3 linked regions of the Elephas maximus indicus genome follow. Each later gene encodes a partner of the first gene's protein in a complex. Links are inferred from orthologs where the notes say so. Each region holds a gene or a part of one and is shown on either strand. Other genes may lie near its edges.

Region 1 (5,099 bases):
TTTGGTACTATCTTTAAGGAGGAGGAGGTGGAGTAACTGCGGATGTGTAACTCTTAGAAGAGAATGTTTAGGTAGAATGTGAGGGCTATCTTCAAGGATCTCAAAGGTCATCACATGGAGGAAGGATGTGACTTACTCCATGTGGACTTCAGAGGGTAGAGCTCGGTCGAAGGTTACAGGGAGGTGATTGCACTTTAATTGCAGTGCAAAGATAGGACATAGAGTTGCGTATCTCTTCGGGACAGATATGACAGGTATCATTGCTGAGTGCTCGCCATGTCTCACTAAGACCTTTTCTGCCTTAGCTGGAAAGTCGTGGATCAAATTCACACTTATAACTAACTACAACTGTCTCACAGTTTTATTACCGGACCTCCGGGTCTCGATGGCCCTGACACTTAGGCAGGAGTCAGGCGAAAGTGAAAGAAGAAAAACTTTTTTTGGTTGGCCAAGCAAAGGAGCTCCCTGGGACCTGCGTCGCCAAGATGGCCCTTTGATTGGCAGGCACAAGGGTTTACATACTGGGAGGAAACAGACTAGGAGCGGGCTCTTCTTCAGGGCGTCATAGGGTTGGCGCAATCACACTGGGAGGAGAAATGGTGGGTTAGCTCCGCCCAGCCGCCATCCGGTGGTTTCCCACCTCTGCTTCATTAGTCAAGGCTATATTTACCGACTGCTTATTAAAAATCATCTCATTTAACAGTTGTCTTGTTGGCTGTTGTTATTACATCACTGACATTTTACAGATGAGGAAAAAGAGAAGTTACTTTCCAAGAGTCACCATGCTTTAAATCACTGACTTGTAACCATCTAGACCCAGGTTTTCTTGCTATTAATACTGCCTCCCAGGGTTTGTGCATTTAATAAGGGGTTCATCACTACCTGGAGACTATATACGTATATATAGGAGACAGGGTTGGTGATTTGCTTCCAAAAGGACACAGCCTTGAAACCCTGTGAAGCAATTCTAGCCTGCACACATAGGGTCATCATGAATCAGAATCAACAGGAACTATCAAAAACATATAAGATATTAACTCAATACATCTAAAAAATTATTTCAACATGCAATCAATATAAAAATTATTGGCCAGCTGTTTTACACTTGATTTTTTCACACTAAGTCCTGTGTGCGGTTTACCCTTAAAGAGCATCTCAGAACTAGCCATGTTTCAAGTGCCCCACAGTCACATGTAGTTCCTGGCTTCTAGTAGACAGCCAGCACAGGGTTAACTATTAAATTTCTTGGGGGACAGAGGCTGATTCTTAAAGGGGAGCGCTCTCCATCTTAGATTCTGGAACCTTCCTAGGGGCAACTTGTTCCCTTGTCAGTCAGAAAGGAGAGCAAAGCAACTGCCTTCGCCTTTTCTGGGAAAGCCAATGTAGGTATTTCTGAATTCTGTGAGGACAGGTGTTTCTTTCAGTCTTCCAACAACTGTCATTTCCCTCCTGCCAGCTATGCTGGGAGTTAAGGTCCTTGATTTTGCTTTGAACATGACTGAAGTAGGTTGCATGAATTAAATAATGTGTCTTAAATACCACATTGGGGTAGAAAGCCTGGATTTTATGCAGTTATGCAAAACTAGGGAGCCCCTGGCTTAATTGATTAGAACTAAATCTTTAGTTTCAAGTACAGAGTCGGTATGGATGGGTGACCGGGGAGAGGGAGGAAGGAAATGTTCTGTTTGTTCTGTTGTTTTTTGCCACGCTCTCCAAGGGTAGAGACATGGCGTGCAATAAGACACAGCAGTCCCTTTTAAAGTAGCTTTGAAACGGCCCAGCGAAGTTCCCCCTTAAATCCCCAAAACCAGTTGCCAAAAATGAAAACAGATTAAAAGATGCCGCGCGTACTGGGCCTCCCGGAGGTGGCGCTTTGAAGGTGACGGAGTTAATTAGTGCCTGCAAAAGTCGGTGTGTGAGCTCATCTGAGAATCATGCTCTGCACACGTATTATTTATAGCAGATCTGAGCCACGCACGGTGTTTGACATTTTCCTCTTTTTAAGTAAGGGGACTTCTAAAAGTCGTGGGCACCACCCCAGGAAAAGTGCAGAGGGCAAGCACCAGAGCGCGGGCAGGTGCCAGTGCCGGCGGCGGTGGCGGCGGCAACTCCGCAGCGTCCGCTCGGGAAGAGAGTTCGTAGCTGATGTCCGGATGCCTTGCAGATGCAAAATGTGTCTCTGGCCACCAGGAGGAAGGAAGAGGAAGTGAGAGCAGCGGCAGCCGGCGGCACAGCAGCCGGCCGACCCGGAGTGTAAGTGCGTGTGCTCGAGCGAGCGAGAGCGGGCGAGAATGGGCACGGGATAGAGACAGAGCCACCCACACACCGCGGCCCCGAGCTGGGCGTCAGAGTCTCCGGCCCCCCTTCGCGGGTCGCCAGGGCTCTCGTCGTTGGAAGCCCTCGCCGCCGCCACAGCTGTCCTGAGACCCCGGGCAGGTTCGTAAAGTTTCCTGGGCTGGCGCCGAGCACCGACTCGTTGACCTCAGAGCAGCCGGGGAGGGGGCAGGGGCTAGGGCAGGGAGGAGGCGTCCTACTCCGGGGACTCTGGGCGCCGCCGAGACACTTTTGTTTCCTCTCTAGGGGCGCCGCGGCTCGGGCGGGGGTGGCCGCCACGCACCGCGGGGTGAGGGCTGCGGGAGAGCCGGATCGCTCCGCAATTGGGGAAGTCTGGGCAGCTGAGGGCGGCTGGTGTGGGAGTGGGCACGGAGGGAGAGGGCTCCGGAGGTGGAGCGCCCGGGATGGAGCGCAGGGCCCGGGGCCCAAGAATCCGCGGAGACGTTTCGAGCAGGGCAGGCTAGAGGGGGGCGCCGGCGGGTTGCGCTACTGGCGCAGGGGTGTCGGGGCCAGGGGGCTTGGAGTAAAGATTCCTGGGACTGGAGACCCGGGAGACTGCTGGAGGTGGGGCTGGAGGCTCGGACTCCTGGTTTTTCTCCGGCGCTCGCAGATGGGAGGGAATCCCCCGGCGAGCGCGCCCCTGGGAGGGGGCGGTGTTGGGATAGAGGGAATGGAGGGGCGGAGGGGGCTGTTAAGGCAGTTGCGAGCCCTAGGGCGATTGCTAGTAAATACTTGCCCCGGGGACACTCTGAGGTCTCCACGGGGACCAGAGAAGGCGATGTGGGGGCCTTCGATGAGAAATCCTGGCTTTGGAGAGGGGTCGCACCGGGCGCGCCTTGGGAGACAGGGGGCGGCGGAGCGCTGGGAGCCCTGGAATAGGAGTGGAGAGGGGCGGCCGCGACTGCCTGAGTAGGTTTGAGGAAGAGGAAGAGGAAATACAGAACTCAGTTGGCCTGGGGGTGCGCGCGTGTGTTCGTGGTTGGGAAGTCTGTGTTGTGCTGCGGGCGCGCGCGAGGGCGGCGAGCGTGTGTGTGTGTGTGTGTGTGTGTGTGTGTGTGTCTGTGCCTGTACGTGTGTGACCCCGCCGAATGACCATCTCCCGCTTGTGGACGCTTTGAAGTTGGCAGCTCTGGGCAGCGGTTGTTGGTGGCTTGAGCTGCAGTGGCCTGAAGCAGCAGGATTTGGCCCCCTGTGGTGACCCAGCTCTGGGGGGCCTCTGGACAGCTCCTGAGACACAGGAAGCATATGTTGTGATGCCCTGTGTACTGGACCACCGACCTTATCATACTTCTGGTCATGAATTATGTGCTAAGATTTCAGGGAGCTTCAGACAGGGGTTTGTGCCTCTGGAGGCAAAGGCTGTCTGCCCCCAATTTGGAGTGAGATGAGGCAGTGGAAGAATTTTTGAGATTTTGTTTTGTTTTACCTTATTCTGTAAAATATAAGTAATGGCATGCATTTATATACCAGATCTTTGAGTGCAACTTTGGGAGTCCCTGTCACAGTAATTTTTAAATTGCAAAGGCAGGCTGGCAGCATCTATGAAGGGCCTTCTCTGGCCAGGGCTTTTCTTAATATCTCACCTCCATACCTACTTCTCAAGGTTGTTTCATGGATTGTAGTCTCCCAATTTACAGATGAGGGGCTGAGGTCCAAAGAAGTAGGAGGCAAGATACCCAGCTGGCAAATAGACATTTTTTGATAGCCGACCTTTTGACTCTCTGCTCTTCATGATGTCTTTCCTATCTCTTGATGGCTCTGGTTAAATGTGCATGTTGCCTTCTTTCCTACTACAATTATTGCTCAATTTCTTTGTTAATCAGATGAACTGGTTGTCCCTTTGGGAGATTGGGAGGGAATGACCTGGAGTGCTGGAACACCCCAGCGGGGGAACTGGGGAACAAGATGCTTGATAGTTCTACAGAGAGGGGCAGGCTGGGAGGCAAGTCCAGGCTGAGTCTAGGTAAACCCAGGACCTGGAACAGTCAGTCACTGGGGTAATGGATGAGTGATACTAATGATGACCATACCCTCCCCACCCCACTGTCATTCCCAGGTCATCTCTCTGCCCTTGTTAATTGCAGACACTCTGACCTTATTTTTTTTTTGCTGAGTTCTGTCCCCAGGGCCTTTGCACATGCTGTTGCTTCTGTATGAGGAAATCCCCCCTCCTCCTTTGCTTCCTCCAGGTCTTTGCTTAGTCAACTTATCAGGAGGCCTTTCCTGGCTATCTTATATAGAATGGCAACCAGGCAATTAATTCCTCATCCCCTTACTTTATTTTCCATCTTAGCACTTATTTTCCCCTGACTTACATTTGTTTGTTCATTTGATTGTTTTCTGTTTCCTCCACTAGAATGTAAGCACCATGAGGATAGGGACCTTGTCTTGTTTGCAGCTCCAGAACCTAGAGTGACCCCCAGCATGTGGTAGGCACTCAGTAAGTATTTATTGATTGACCGAATGAGAGATATCTATATTAGGAAATAACCATCAGCACCATCAGTGGCAAGTAGATGCCCAGGCACTAGGCTTTGGCTTTTCTCCCTGTCCTCTCCCCCAGGCCCAGCCATGTTTGTTTCTGATCTCTTTCTGCCTGAGTAGATTTCTTCAGAATTTCAGACTGAGGACGGAGAGGTGATTCCTCAGGAGAGTCGAACTCAAGTCTCCTTTATAAATAACGTGTGACCACTCCAGATCTGGCATTTTATCACACTCCTTGGAGAAAGACTTTTCAAAGCGTGGGCTGTTTTAGCCAATGAAAT
Region 2 (5,099 bases), on another chromosome or scaffold:
AAGGCTGCACTGTGGGGTGCAGAGGTGGGAGGGCATTCTGGGCAGGGAACAAGCACTGTCAGAGCAAAGTCCTGAAGGAGGGACTCTCCGTGATGTATTGCACAAGAGTGAGAAGAGCAGTTTGTCTGCATTGGAGGCTTAACGTAAGAAGCCATGGGAGATAAGGATGGTGATGATATGTTGAATCAGACCTGTTGGAACACTGGAACTTGGGCTCAGTTTAGACTTTACCCTGTAGGGCATGGAAAGCTTCTGAGCAGAGAGGTGATATGAACAATCATGTGTTTTAGGAATAAACAATGAAGATTTATCTCTTGAGTTAATCTGTCCTAAGTGTTGGCCCTTGTACCAAATGTAAAGGATCAGAATCTTTATGTTTTGCTAAATGTGTCCCAAATTACATCCTGGGGCAACTGTGCTACCACCTATGTCCTGAAAAGGCTACTGAAATATTTTTCTTGACTAATGATAAATAACATGGAAAACTAACTCCAGGAAAGGAAAAAAAAAAGTTAAAAAGAAAAACTATCGTACTTGCTCCTATGACTATGGCAATACAACCAACCACATTTTGGGGATACATTTACATTAATTGTGCCCAAGTCATAATACTTTTGAACACAGTTTTTATTCAGTTAAACAAAACTTAGATTTGATAACTTTTCTGCAATTCGTACTTAGTGATTATCAGTTTTCTGACTCAGGGAGACCCCATGTGTGTCAGAGTAAAACTGTGCTCCATAGAGTTTTCAATGGCTGGTTTTTTGGAAGTAGATCGCCAGGCCTTTCTTCTGAGGAGACTCTGGGTGGACTTGAACCTCCAACCTTTCAGTTAGTAGCCTAGCTAACCATGGGCACTACCCAGGGGCTCCCTTTAATGGCTACAGAGCTCAAATCACCTAGAGATCTTAAGAGTTATCTCTGAAATAAACTTAGATGTGGAAAAGCTCAGAATTGGTTTAGGGGCTCCTCCCTAGATATTCCAGGAAAAATGGGGGTTAGAGACAGAATGAAGTAAAAGAAATTACAAATAGGCCAAAAGAATGAACATGAGAGGAAGTAATAAAATTCTCAACATACACAGCTATGTTTATATTAGGGAATCACTCTGACCTCTATCACTGCCATTGCAATCTCCCCCGCTAATGGCACAGTTCCCCCCACAAGACCTCAACAAAGCATCTCTTTGATTTAAAAAAAAAAAAAAAAGGTGGAAAACCAAAAACCAAACCCGTCGTCGAGTCAACTGGACTCATTGCGACGGTATACGACAGGGTAGAACTGTCCCATAGGGCTTCCAAGGGTGTAATCTTTAAGGAAGCAGAATCCCACTGCCACAACTTTCTTCCGCGGAGCGACTCGTGGGTTCCAACTGTTGATCTTTTGGTTACCAGCCCAACGCTTAACCGCTGCGCCACCGGGTCTACTTAAAAAGGGGAAGGAGCATGGCTTTTCACCTGCGTCAGAAGCCTGCAAAGCCATTTGTCCCTGTGCCAAACCAACACAACAGGAATCCCTCCGCACATGCTAGGGCTCTCCAGCACCGCCATTAGGAATGCCAAGTGCCTAGCTCCGGACCTGTCACAGAGTTTTCTGAATAAACTTTCCTCATCTTACCCCACGATGAAAAAGAGGATTCTGAAGACCACTTTATACCGTCTCCACACAAGCTCCGTTAGGGGAGGAGTGTCTGCACAAACGGCCCCAGAGGCCAGCCACCCCTTCCCAAGCCACACACTTCCTCTCATCGCTTCAAACCACAAATTCAGTTTTCCACTCAGCTTACAGACTGTTAGCAAGATTCCAGTGCTCAGCACTCTGTCCCAGGGAAAAGCGGGGGAAGGGGAGGAGGCGTGTTTCTATCCTCCAGTCTCACTTTGAGGCCTCCGAGAGGAACCTATGAAGAAGGAAGTCGGAAAGCACTGGGAAACGACTAGCATTCCCATTCGGCGGACCTCGGCTGCTTACAAACATTGAATGAAACCAAACGGATGGGCGGAAGGAGGGGAGCAACAGAGCTGGGCTTCCCAAATGAATAGCAGGCGGGTTCCCTCACTTTTGACGCGTCTACTATGCAACACGATAAATCTTATTTGGGAGCGGATTATCAGTCCCGAAGCCCAAATGCACATTTAGCCGCTCAGGTTCCAAAAACTCCGAGTTACTTCCCCACCGGGGCGGCAACTGACCCCTCCCGGGAGAGGGCCCCGAGCCCGCCCCGCTCCCAGTAACGGCGGCAGCCCGAGTTCAGCCCCGCAGGCACCCGCGAGGGCCGCAGATCCCGAGCCCGGGGCCCGGCACGGCGCCGGCGGCGCGCTCTGCAAATCGCCGGACTCCACCGCCCGACTCGCCCGCGGGCAGGGCCAGTCCCCGCGAACTTTGCAGCGACCGCTGCAGACCTGCGAAGCTGGCCGGGTCGGGGGGCGGGGTAGGCCGAGCACTCACCAACTCCGTATTTCTGCCTCTTGGTCGGGATCCAGCGGGCCATGGCGGCGACCTCGCCCCGCGGCGGCACCGGTTGCGGCGGCTACAGCTCCTCCGGCGCCGGCCGCCGCCGCCCCGCGCTGCTCCGCGCCCCGGGCTCTTCCGCCATGTTCCGTCAAACTTCGCTGCGACCCCTGCAAGCCGTCTTCCGCGGCTCTGCGCGCCGCCCGCGCCGAGACTGGACCCGCTCCGCCGCCGGTCCCACCCGGCCCGCGCCCGCGCCCGCGCCGCCCGCGGTCACCTGCTGGGCCGGGCGGCCGCGCCGCCCTGCGCCCTCGAGGCACCGCCCCGGCTCCTCCTGCCCGCCGCCCCACCCCGCGCCGCGCCCTTAGCTCCCGAGGCAGCCTGCCCGCCGGCTCAGGGACTCCCGGCTCGCCCACGCCGGGCGTGCTCGTTCGGCCCTGCGCGCTTTCTGGGAGCAGTTTCCCAGGGCTGACTCTGGGGTATGGCTTTTTTCTTTTTTTTTTTTTCCCCCCGCCTTCCCCACACCGGATTAAACCCAAGAGACTGGATCCGGTGGGGCGAGTTCCCCGCTGGAGGCGCCCAGCACACTCGGGCCGGGCTGCGGGGCACCGGTGGGCGAGGAGTGGGAGTCTGCGCCCACTGTGCGCTCCGGAGCCTTTTGGGGCGGGCGGGGGCGGGGAACAGAATGAATTAATAGAGGTTGTGTCTCGCCCCGGAGGGAACTCCCCAGTGCTTGGCGCTTGGCACTTGCCCGGCGCTCAATAAATATTTGTTGAATAAATGAGCAGTTGACTACTGCGTTCATCCCCTAGAGCTTTAACAGACACCACGCGAGCCGGAAGCCAGCCGGACTCCGGGGCAGACATTATCTCCTGTGGCCACCGTTTATAGCCTCTCAAAGCTGGGACATTTGTCTTCTGGTAAGTAGAGAGCTGGTGCGAGGGAGACGGGCTCCTCATTAGTATCAAATAGTTTCCTGATGGGTCCTCTGTGGGGGAATTATTTAGAAAGCCGTAGTTTCTAAGTCCTGTATCCCGTAAAACGCCGGAATACCTCTCCAGCTGAAGAAATTCATTCACTCTTGCTCAGGGAAAAAAGGATCTGCCCCAAGACTCCCTTTTCCTGGGAGCCAGCAGTCCAGAGAGCATCCCTGCGGAGAAAGGGACCGGGCACATTGATGTCTTTTTCTGGTTCACTGACTGTATTGACAAGAAATCGAAAACTGGGACTGCGCATTTGAACTGCCTCGGGTTCCAATTGGAGCCCTCTCTGGAACTCCCCTTTTTGAAACTCACTGGGAGAGACTTCAGCAAATGAAGGCACAGGAGTTCAGGGGGCTTCTTGCTATCTCACGCGGTGGAAGTATAATCTCAAACAGAGTAAATGACAAGCTTAATTATGTTCACCATCTGAGAAAATGCCTTTTGAAAGAAATTGCATTACCCTTGCAGTCTGTGAAGGTTTTCTTCCGTGTTTGAGCATGAAAGGAAAGAAAGATAAAATAATCATGCAGCGAAATATAGTAAAAACTTGTTTGAAGAATAAGTGCATTATAATTCTGATAACTTTCTGCAAAGCCAGGTCTAAAAAAAAAACCCTGTTTAAGGTGGGTAGTTCTCAGGGCTTACTTTCTTCTGCATCACCCAACAAGTATTTATTCACAAAATAGAATCAGAAACTTAATATAAGAGATTCCCCTGTCATTCAGGCTTGACATCCAAAAGGTATTCCATCTCCCTGAAAATAAAATTTCTTTTCCTCTATCAATGATAACATGAGTAACCTGATTTCCCAGGTTAAAGAATTCATTTCTTCATTCGTCCCTTCCACTAATGTTTATTAAGTGCCTGCTAGATACCAGGCATTGTTTTAAGAATGGGGGTACGTCAGTGAATAAAGTAAAATCCCTGCCATCATAGAGCTTACATTCTAGAACTGAAGAGTGAGACAACAAATATATACCAGGTAGTGATAAGGTCTATGGAGAAAAATCCAAAGCAAGGCAGATGGAATGTGTAGGGCGTGCTGCTATCCTATATAGAGTGATCTGGGAAGGCGTCTCTAAGATGACATTGAAGTATAGACCTGAAGAAGTGAGGACTTCAGGGGAAAGAATTACGGACAGTGGGGATAACAAATATAAAGGCCCTGATGCGTGTTCAGCAATTTCCAAAGATAGCCAGGGATTCGGTGTGGTGAGAGCAGAGTAAGGGGAAGAACATGGGAGAGACATGGTCCAGAGGCAATGGGTGTTCAGATAAATAAGGACTTTATATATTACTGTGAGATGGGAAGTTTGGAGGATGTTGAATCAACAAGGACGTGATCTAATTTGCCTGCTGTGTGATGAATAGACTAAAGGGGTGAGGAAAAGCAGGAAGACCAGATGGAAAGCTACTTATTAGTTCAGGCAAAAAATGAAGGGATATTGCAGCTCTGTTTACAATAGCAAAAAGCTGGAAGCAACCAAGATGTCCATCAACGGATGAATGGGTAAATAAATTGTGGTATATTCACACAATGGAATACTACGCATCGATAAAGAACAGTGACAAATCTCTGAAACATTTCATAACATGGAGGAATCTGGAAGGCATTATGCTGAGCGAAATGAGCCAGAGGCAAAAGGACAAATATTGTATAAGACCACT
Region 3 (5,099 bases), on another chromosome or scaffold:
AACTTATAGTGACCCCAACCACAACAGAAGGAAACACTGCCCCATCCTGCGCCATCCTCACAATCGTCCTTATGCTTGAGCCCATTGTTGCAGCCACTGTGTCAGTCTATCTCTTTGAGGGTCTTCCTCTTTTTTTGTTGACCCTCTACTTTATCAAGCATTATGTCCTTCTCCAGGGACTGGTCCCTCCTGGTAACATGTCCAAAGTTAACATTCCATATCCTTCTATTCCTGACTGTCCTTCTTCCTCTTTTGCTCCAGGTTAGTAGAGACTAACTGTTGCGCCTTGGATGGCCCCTTGCAAGCTTTTAAGATCCCAGGCACTACTCAAGTTACTAGGAAGTAGAACAGAGGCACTAAACACATTATTAGGCCAATTAACTGGGATGTCCCATAAAACTATGACCCTAAATATCCAAACCAAGGAACCAAATCCCATGAGGTGTTTGGTTGTACACAAACTCAGCAGCTGCTTTTTTTTTTTGTCATTGTCATCATTAGAAAATTTTGAATTACAAATGTGGCTTGCATTCTATTTCTTTTGGACAGCACTGGGAGAGTCAAACGCATGGCAGGGGTGGTTGGGGTATGTGTGTGCTGGAGGGAGGAAAGATGAAGCCAGGCAGGGAGTAGTTTAGTACAGCCAGATTGTGAAAGAATAAGCCGATCTCCCCTGGCCGACTACACAGAAAAGAAGTCAGAGGGAACAGAATGCGCAAAGATCCAAAGATGTGGGCAAGCCCGCTGTGTTTTGAGAACTCATAGTATGACATAAAAAGAAAAAATAAAGAAGCATTTATTGAGTGTTTACTTTGAGCCAGGCACTGACAGTAGGCCTTTTACATCTATTATTTTATCTTTACAACTAACGGGCGAAGGGGACCGTATTCTATTTTACCAAAGAAAGAACTGAGGCTCAGAAAGGTCGAGCTATTTATTCCCGGAGCTCACCCTTTTTTATGTGGAAAACCTCTTGAAGACAGGGCGCCTCTACGGTCTTAAACGCCTGTGAGTTTCTAGAGCACCCAGCATGGGGTTCTGCACGTGGTTGGCGCTGGAAAGTTTGATTTGAACCAAGAATATCAGCTCCAAAGTCAGAGTTCCGTGCAAGGCGTCGGAGCAAAAACACCAGAGGGCGCCCACGAGTCCGCCAGTCCCCCGGGCCCGGACCCCGACCTCCGGCCGCGACCCCGCGGCCTGGGTGCGGCCCTTCAGCCTCTAGCAGCTGCGCGCCCCGGCGGGAAGATGGAGCGCGGGGAGCCCCACGTCCTCTGCCCGCCCCGCCCCCTCCCCAGGGCCCGGCTGAGCCACCGGGTGCGGAACGACGACACGACATCCTGTTTTTGGGCCCGCGGCTCCGCCTGCGCCTCTGCTGATCTTGTCTTTCCCCGTGTGCTGACGCCAGCTCCCCTTCCCCCAGTCTCCGCAACCCCCCCCCACAAAGGGTCTGGGGCCTTCCCACTACTGAATCATCACCACCCCGCAATCCCCCGGGGCTCGGGGCAAAGGTGGGGACTGCCCCAGCGTAACCTATTCTGCCCATTCCCCAGCTGCGGCCATTGCCCGGTCCCTGGGTTTGGCAGAAGTCACCAGGCCTAGGGGCGCCTTTTCTCAGCATCTTCCCGCAACGGGTGGAAGGGACGAGATACAGGCGTGGGGGACAAATGCCTAGCGCCTAGGCTTAGGCCTCTGATGGGACCGGAGCCAAGGAGGAGGCTAGAAGGCCTGACCTTGGCAGGCTTGACTTAAAAGACTCCGGCCAGTGGGCTGAAGGCGGGGAGCCTCGGACCGGGGCGGGGGCGAGGCCGTGGGTGGGGGGCAAGGCTGGGAGAGGGTGAGGCGGTGAGGGCGGGTCGCGGACTTCCTGGTCGTGCCCCGCGCTCCGCCCCCGCGCCCCGCCCCGCCGGCTGGCCCGCCCCCCCCACTTCCTCCGGCCTCCCGCTCTCACTTCCTTCTTGAGCCCGGAGCCGCTGCCGCCGCCTCCCCAGCTCCCCCGCGGTGGGGAGGGCAACAGGTAAGGCTGGGCCCGGGCCGGCGGACTGGGGGACCGGGGGAGGGGAGCCCGGCCAGCGCGGGACGGGGCGCAGGCGCCGGCCCAGGAAGTTTGCTTGCGGGAGGCCGCGGGCGGGAGGTTCTTGGTTCGCTCCAAGTTGGGCGGGCGCGGCCGGTCGGGCGGGGCGGAGACCGGGCCACTGCGAGCCAGCGGCGGCTCGGTCAGAGTGGATTCCCGGCAGCTGTACCGGCTCTCGGGAGCCGGGAGAACCCCCTTAGGCCAGCGTGTCTCTGGCTCAGGGAGGACAGCCTCTGAAGTGGAAGTGCTCAGAGCTAGGATGTGGAACTCAGAGGTGGGGGTGCCCACAGAAGTTGTCGGTGGAGGGCGGTGACCAAGTGTGTGAGGGGAGAGAGTCTCGGGCAATTGTGACATTTGTGAGGTTGAGAGGGGGTAGGTGTCTGGGGCCTGCGAACCCTGGAGACTGCACAGAAAGAGGTCCCGCCCTGGGAGAACGAGGTCACCCCATACCCACACTCTGCAACCAAAAGGACCCGGAGGGAACCCCGCCGACCCCAGTCCTTCTCTCTGTGTGTCTGTTTCTCTGAAGCCCAACCTCCCCATCCCTGGACCCAAGCAACAGGTATTCAGTGAGCAGACATCTGCAGTGCCCAGCTGACCAGTGTCTGGCCTTGCTCTGTGGTGGGTAAACTGAGGAAGGAAAAGGCCTGGTCTTGTCCTGTGGCTGGAGGTGAAAGGACTCTCATTCAGAGATACTGAGAGTTGGACAAGATGGCATAACTGAGATCAGGTCTGTTTTCAGGAAATGGAGAAAATAGGGCTTCTGAGAGGCATCAGGGTCTCTGGCCTTCTGGGAACAATTGGTAGCCATCTACTAGTCTTCCCCCCCCCGCCCCCGCCATTCTTAGTCCCTGAATTCTACCCACTTTCTCATTCTGTCTCCCTCCATCCCTCCTTTAGTCTCCACCCACAAACTGGCCATCACTATCTCCTCTCCTCCCCTCTCCTTCTGTCTTCTTTCCCCCGATCACAGCCCTGACCTCTCCTTAACTACTCTAACCTGCTGTCCATCTCAGTCTCCTGCTGCATCCCCCCCCTCCTTTCGCTATCCGGCTTCTGGCTCCCCACCATCTTGTTCCTTCCATCTCCTCTCATTCTCATAATCTCTCAGTTTGTCACCCTCTCTCTGTCACCTTCCCTTTCACCCACTTCTCTCCAGCTTTGGGGTCAGGATCTACTGTAGAAGACTTGGTGAGTTTGAGAGCCTTTTTGAACCTCCCAGAGACATGCTGCAACCTCTCGGTGATGGAGATGATTAAAGGGCTGGAAAATGTCTGTGTGTGTGTGTGTGTGTGCGCACATGTGCAAGTGTCTCTGTGTCCATATCTTTAACTGGAGACAGCCAAATAACTGCTCTCAGCCTTGAGAGGCCCCAGAGCAGGGGAAGCCAGCAGAATGAAGGGAACCTGCAGTGGATGAGTTGTGGTTAGGCAGGAGGAAGCAGTCCATAGCAGTCAGGGTACAGTAACACAGGAATAAGACTGGTGAGAGAGGCCACAGGAAATCAGAGTCGTCCAGACCCTTGACTGCTTAACCAAGAAGCCAGTCCTGAAGGCTGGGGGACAGTGAGTGGCCTTAGGAGATGAGTCCCTGGCTTCAGCACCTCCTGGTGGGAAGAATAGGATCAGGCCACCTAGGTGCAGTGGAAGAGAGCAAAGGCAGCTGATTTAACTTCAGTCTTAGGTGTTTTCATTTCAGTTCAGGAGAAGAAGATGGGTATGAGGCAAAAGTGTCTGCCCCTCTTCCCTCCTACCTTCCAGAGGCCATCCAGACTGGGCCTTGGTGACCGGGAAGCCCTCTGGAGTTCAGCTCTTGATGCCTTTAGCCATTCTTAATATTCCCTCTATCACCTAGGACCCTACTCCCTCTCTTTTGTGAATTTCTTCCAAGTCTAATTTTAGCCTAGCCTGGCTCTATAAGCTCTTTTTGTTTCCATTCTAGAGCTCCTTTCTCAGGCCTTTGGGATGTATGCTAAGGGTTCCTGCTTCTCTCAAGCTCCTCCAGTCTGCTCTACTCCTATCCGCTAGAAAAAAGAGAAGTAGAGGGGAGCAGGCACTACTTTTTTGGGTTCCCAGGCACAGATAAATGTAAGGCTCTCCCCATTCCTTATCCCATTCTCTTCCCTTCTCACAGTTGTCCCTTTCCCATGAGTTGTTCCTTCTTCCAGTCCTGCTCTTCCACCTACCTGTCTCTCCTACTCTCATTTCTGGGAGGTGCAGGGAGTTTGGCCCCAGGAGGAAATCCCAGGGAGGGGCTAGCCTTGCATAAAATTCCAGCCCTGGGAAGGATGTGCATGAAAGACACTTTCTCGACATCAGGATTCAGTTTAAAAAAAAAAAACTACCCAAGAGTTGTGACACACACGAGTTCAGCATTTTACATAATTGAGCAACTCATGGGACTCTGAGGGTGAAGATAGAATGGATGAGTTCTCCCAGTCAAGATCTGGCAGTACTAGAGGATTGTTAATTGCAAGAAAATCATTACTGGAAAAATACAACAGGGATGAGGAGAATCTAATTGGGAAAATATCATGGGGGAGTCGGGGGGAGCGTTGCCTACAACCTAGGAGATAGCTGTTGAGGTCTTGACTAAAGAAATACTGTCAAGGTCATGGCATGAAAAGAAATGGCTGATGTGAAGTTGTTACAGATCCTGATTGGGAATCTGGGACAACAGGGGTTGCTTCTGGCAAAGTGTTAGGGCAGAAGCGGCTGGTGTAAACTTTTAGGGGCTTATGAGCCAGAAGGTATAAGAGGTTGTAGTAGCTGGGGTACTGGGAAGCAGAGGGAACCCTGACAGTGAATTCAGCTTAATGAGGTAGGAACAACTCCAAAAAGGAGGGTGAGAATGGTTGCACATCTCAAGGAATGTAATCAGTGTCATTAAATAGAAGCTGTTGAATTGGTATATGTTTTGCTGTGTATATTCTCAACAACAGCAATGAAATAGAATTTAAAAAAGAAAACCCCATGGAGCACAGTTCCGCTTTGACACACATGGGGTCACCATGAGTTGGAATTAACTG

The links. The genes of interacting proteins can lie anywhere in the genome.
Region 2: the proteins of ELMO1 (region 1) and DOCK5 are in contact, whole or in part, in a cryo-EM structure (PDB 8JHK), measured with the Homo sapiens proteins. The link is inferred for Elephas maximus indicus from reciprocal best matches to the Homo sapiens genes ELMO1 and DOCK5. Residues at the interface, in NP_001193409.1 of Homo sapiens: Ile7, Val8, Lys9, Ala11, Tyr18, Pro19, Leu21, Glu23, Glu36, Asp39, Gly40, Ser42, Asn71, Gly72, Gln392, Asp393, Leu400, Glu401, Lys468, Arg531, Glu535, Leu536, Lys539, Leu547, Gln550, Gln551, Asn554, Arg555, Asn582, Thr688; in NP_079216.4 of Homo sapiens: Met1, Ala2, Arg3, Trp4, Val14, Ala15, Ile16, Tyr17, Asn18, Ser22, Gln23, Gln30, Ile31, Gly32, Asp33, Thr34, Glu39, Tyr41, Gly43, Trp44, Arg46, Tyr48, Lys56, Ile58, Pro60, Glu61, Thr62, Tyr63, His65, Leu66.
Region 3: the proteins of ELMO1 (region 1) and RHOG are in contact, whole or in part, in a crystal structure (PDB 7Y4A), measured with the Homo sapiens proteins. The link is inferred for Elephas maximus indicus from reciprocal best matches to the Homo sapiens genes ELMO1 and RHOG. Residues at the interface, in NP_001193409.1 of Homo sapiens: Lys9, Val10, Ala11, Glu13, Tyr18, Pro19, Leu21, Met22, Ala54, Asn71, Gly72, Ile74; in NP_001656.2 of Homo sapiens: Val36, Phe37, Asp38, Trp56, Tyr64, Arg66, Leu67, Leu70, Ser71, Pro73, Gln74.

Annotation. Positions count from the first base shown.
Region 1 is NC_064826.1:99,220,372-99,225,470, reverse strand, and holds the start of ELMO1 (engulfment and cell motility protein 1), read left to right. Parts: upstream 1-1,871; 5' UTR 1,872-2,253; exon of another isoform or gene 2,254-2,436; intron 2,437-5,099. UniProt on the Homo sapiens protein: Involved in cytoskeletal rearrangements required for phagocytosis of apoptotic cells and cell motility. Acts in association with DOCK1 and CRK. Was initially proposed to be required in complex with DOCK1 to activate Rac Rho small GTPases.
Region 2 is NC_064840.1:48,552,404-48,557,502, forward strand, and holds the start of DOCK5 (dedicator of cytokinesis protein 5), read right to left. Parts: upstream 2,707-5,099; 5' UTR 2,489-2,706; coding exon 2,446-2,488; intron 1-2,445. UniProt on the Homo sapiens protein: Guanine nucleotide exchange factor (GEF) for Rho and Rac. GEF proteins activate small GTPases by exchanging bound GDP for free GTP. Along with DOCK1, mediates CRK/CRKL regulation of epithelial and endothelial cell spreading and migration on type IV collagen.
Region 3 is NC_064825.1:53,151,729-53,156,827, reverse strand, and holds the start of RHOG (rho-related GTP-binding protein RhoG), read left to right. Parts: upstream 1-1,910; 5' UTR 1,911-2,014; intron 2,015-5,099.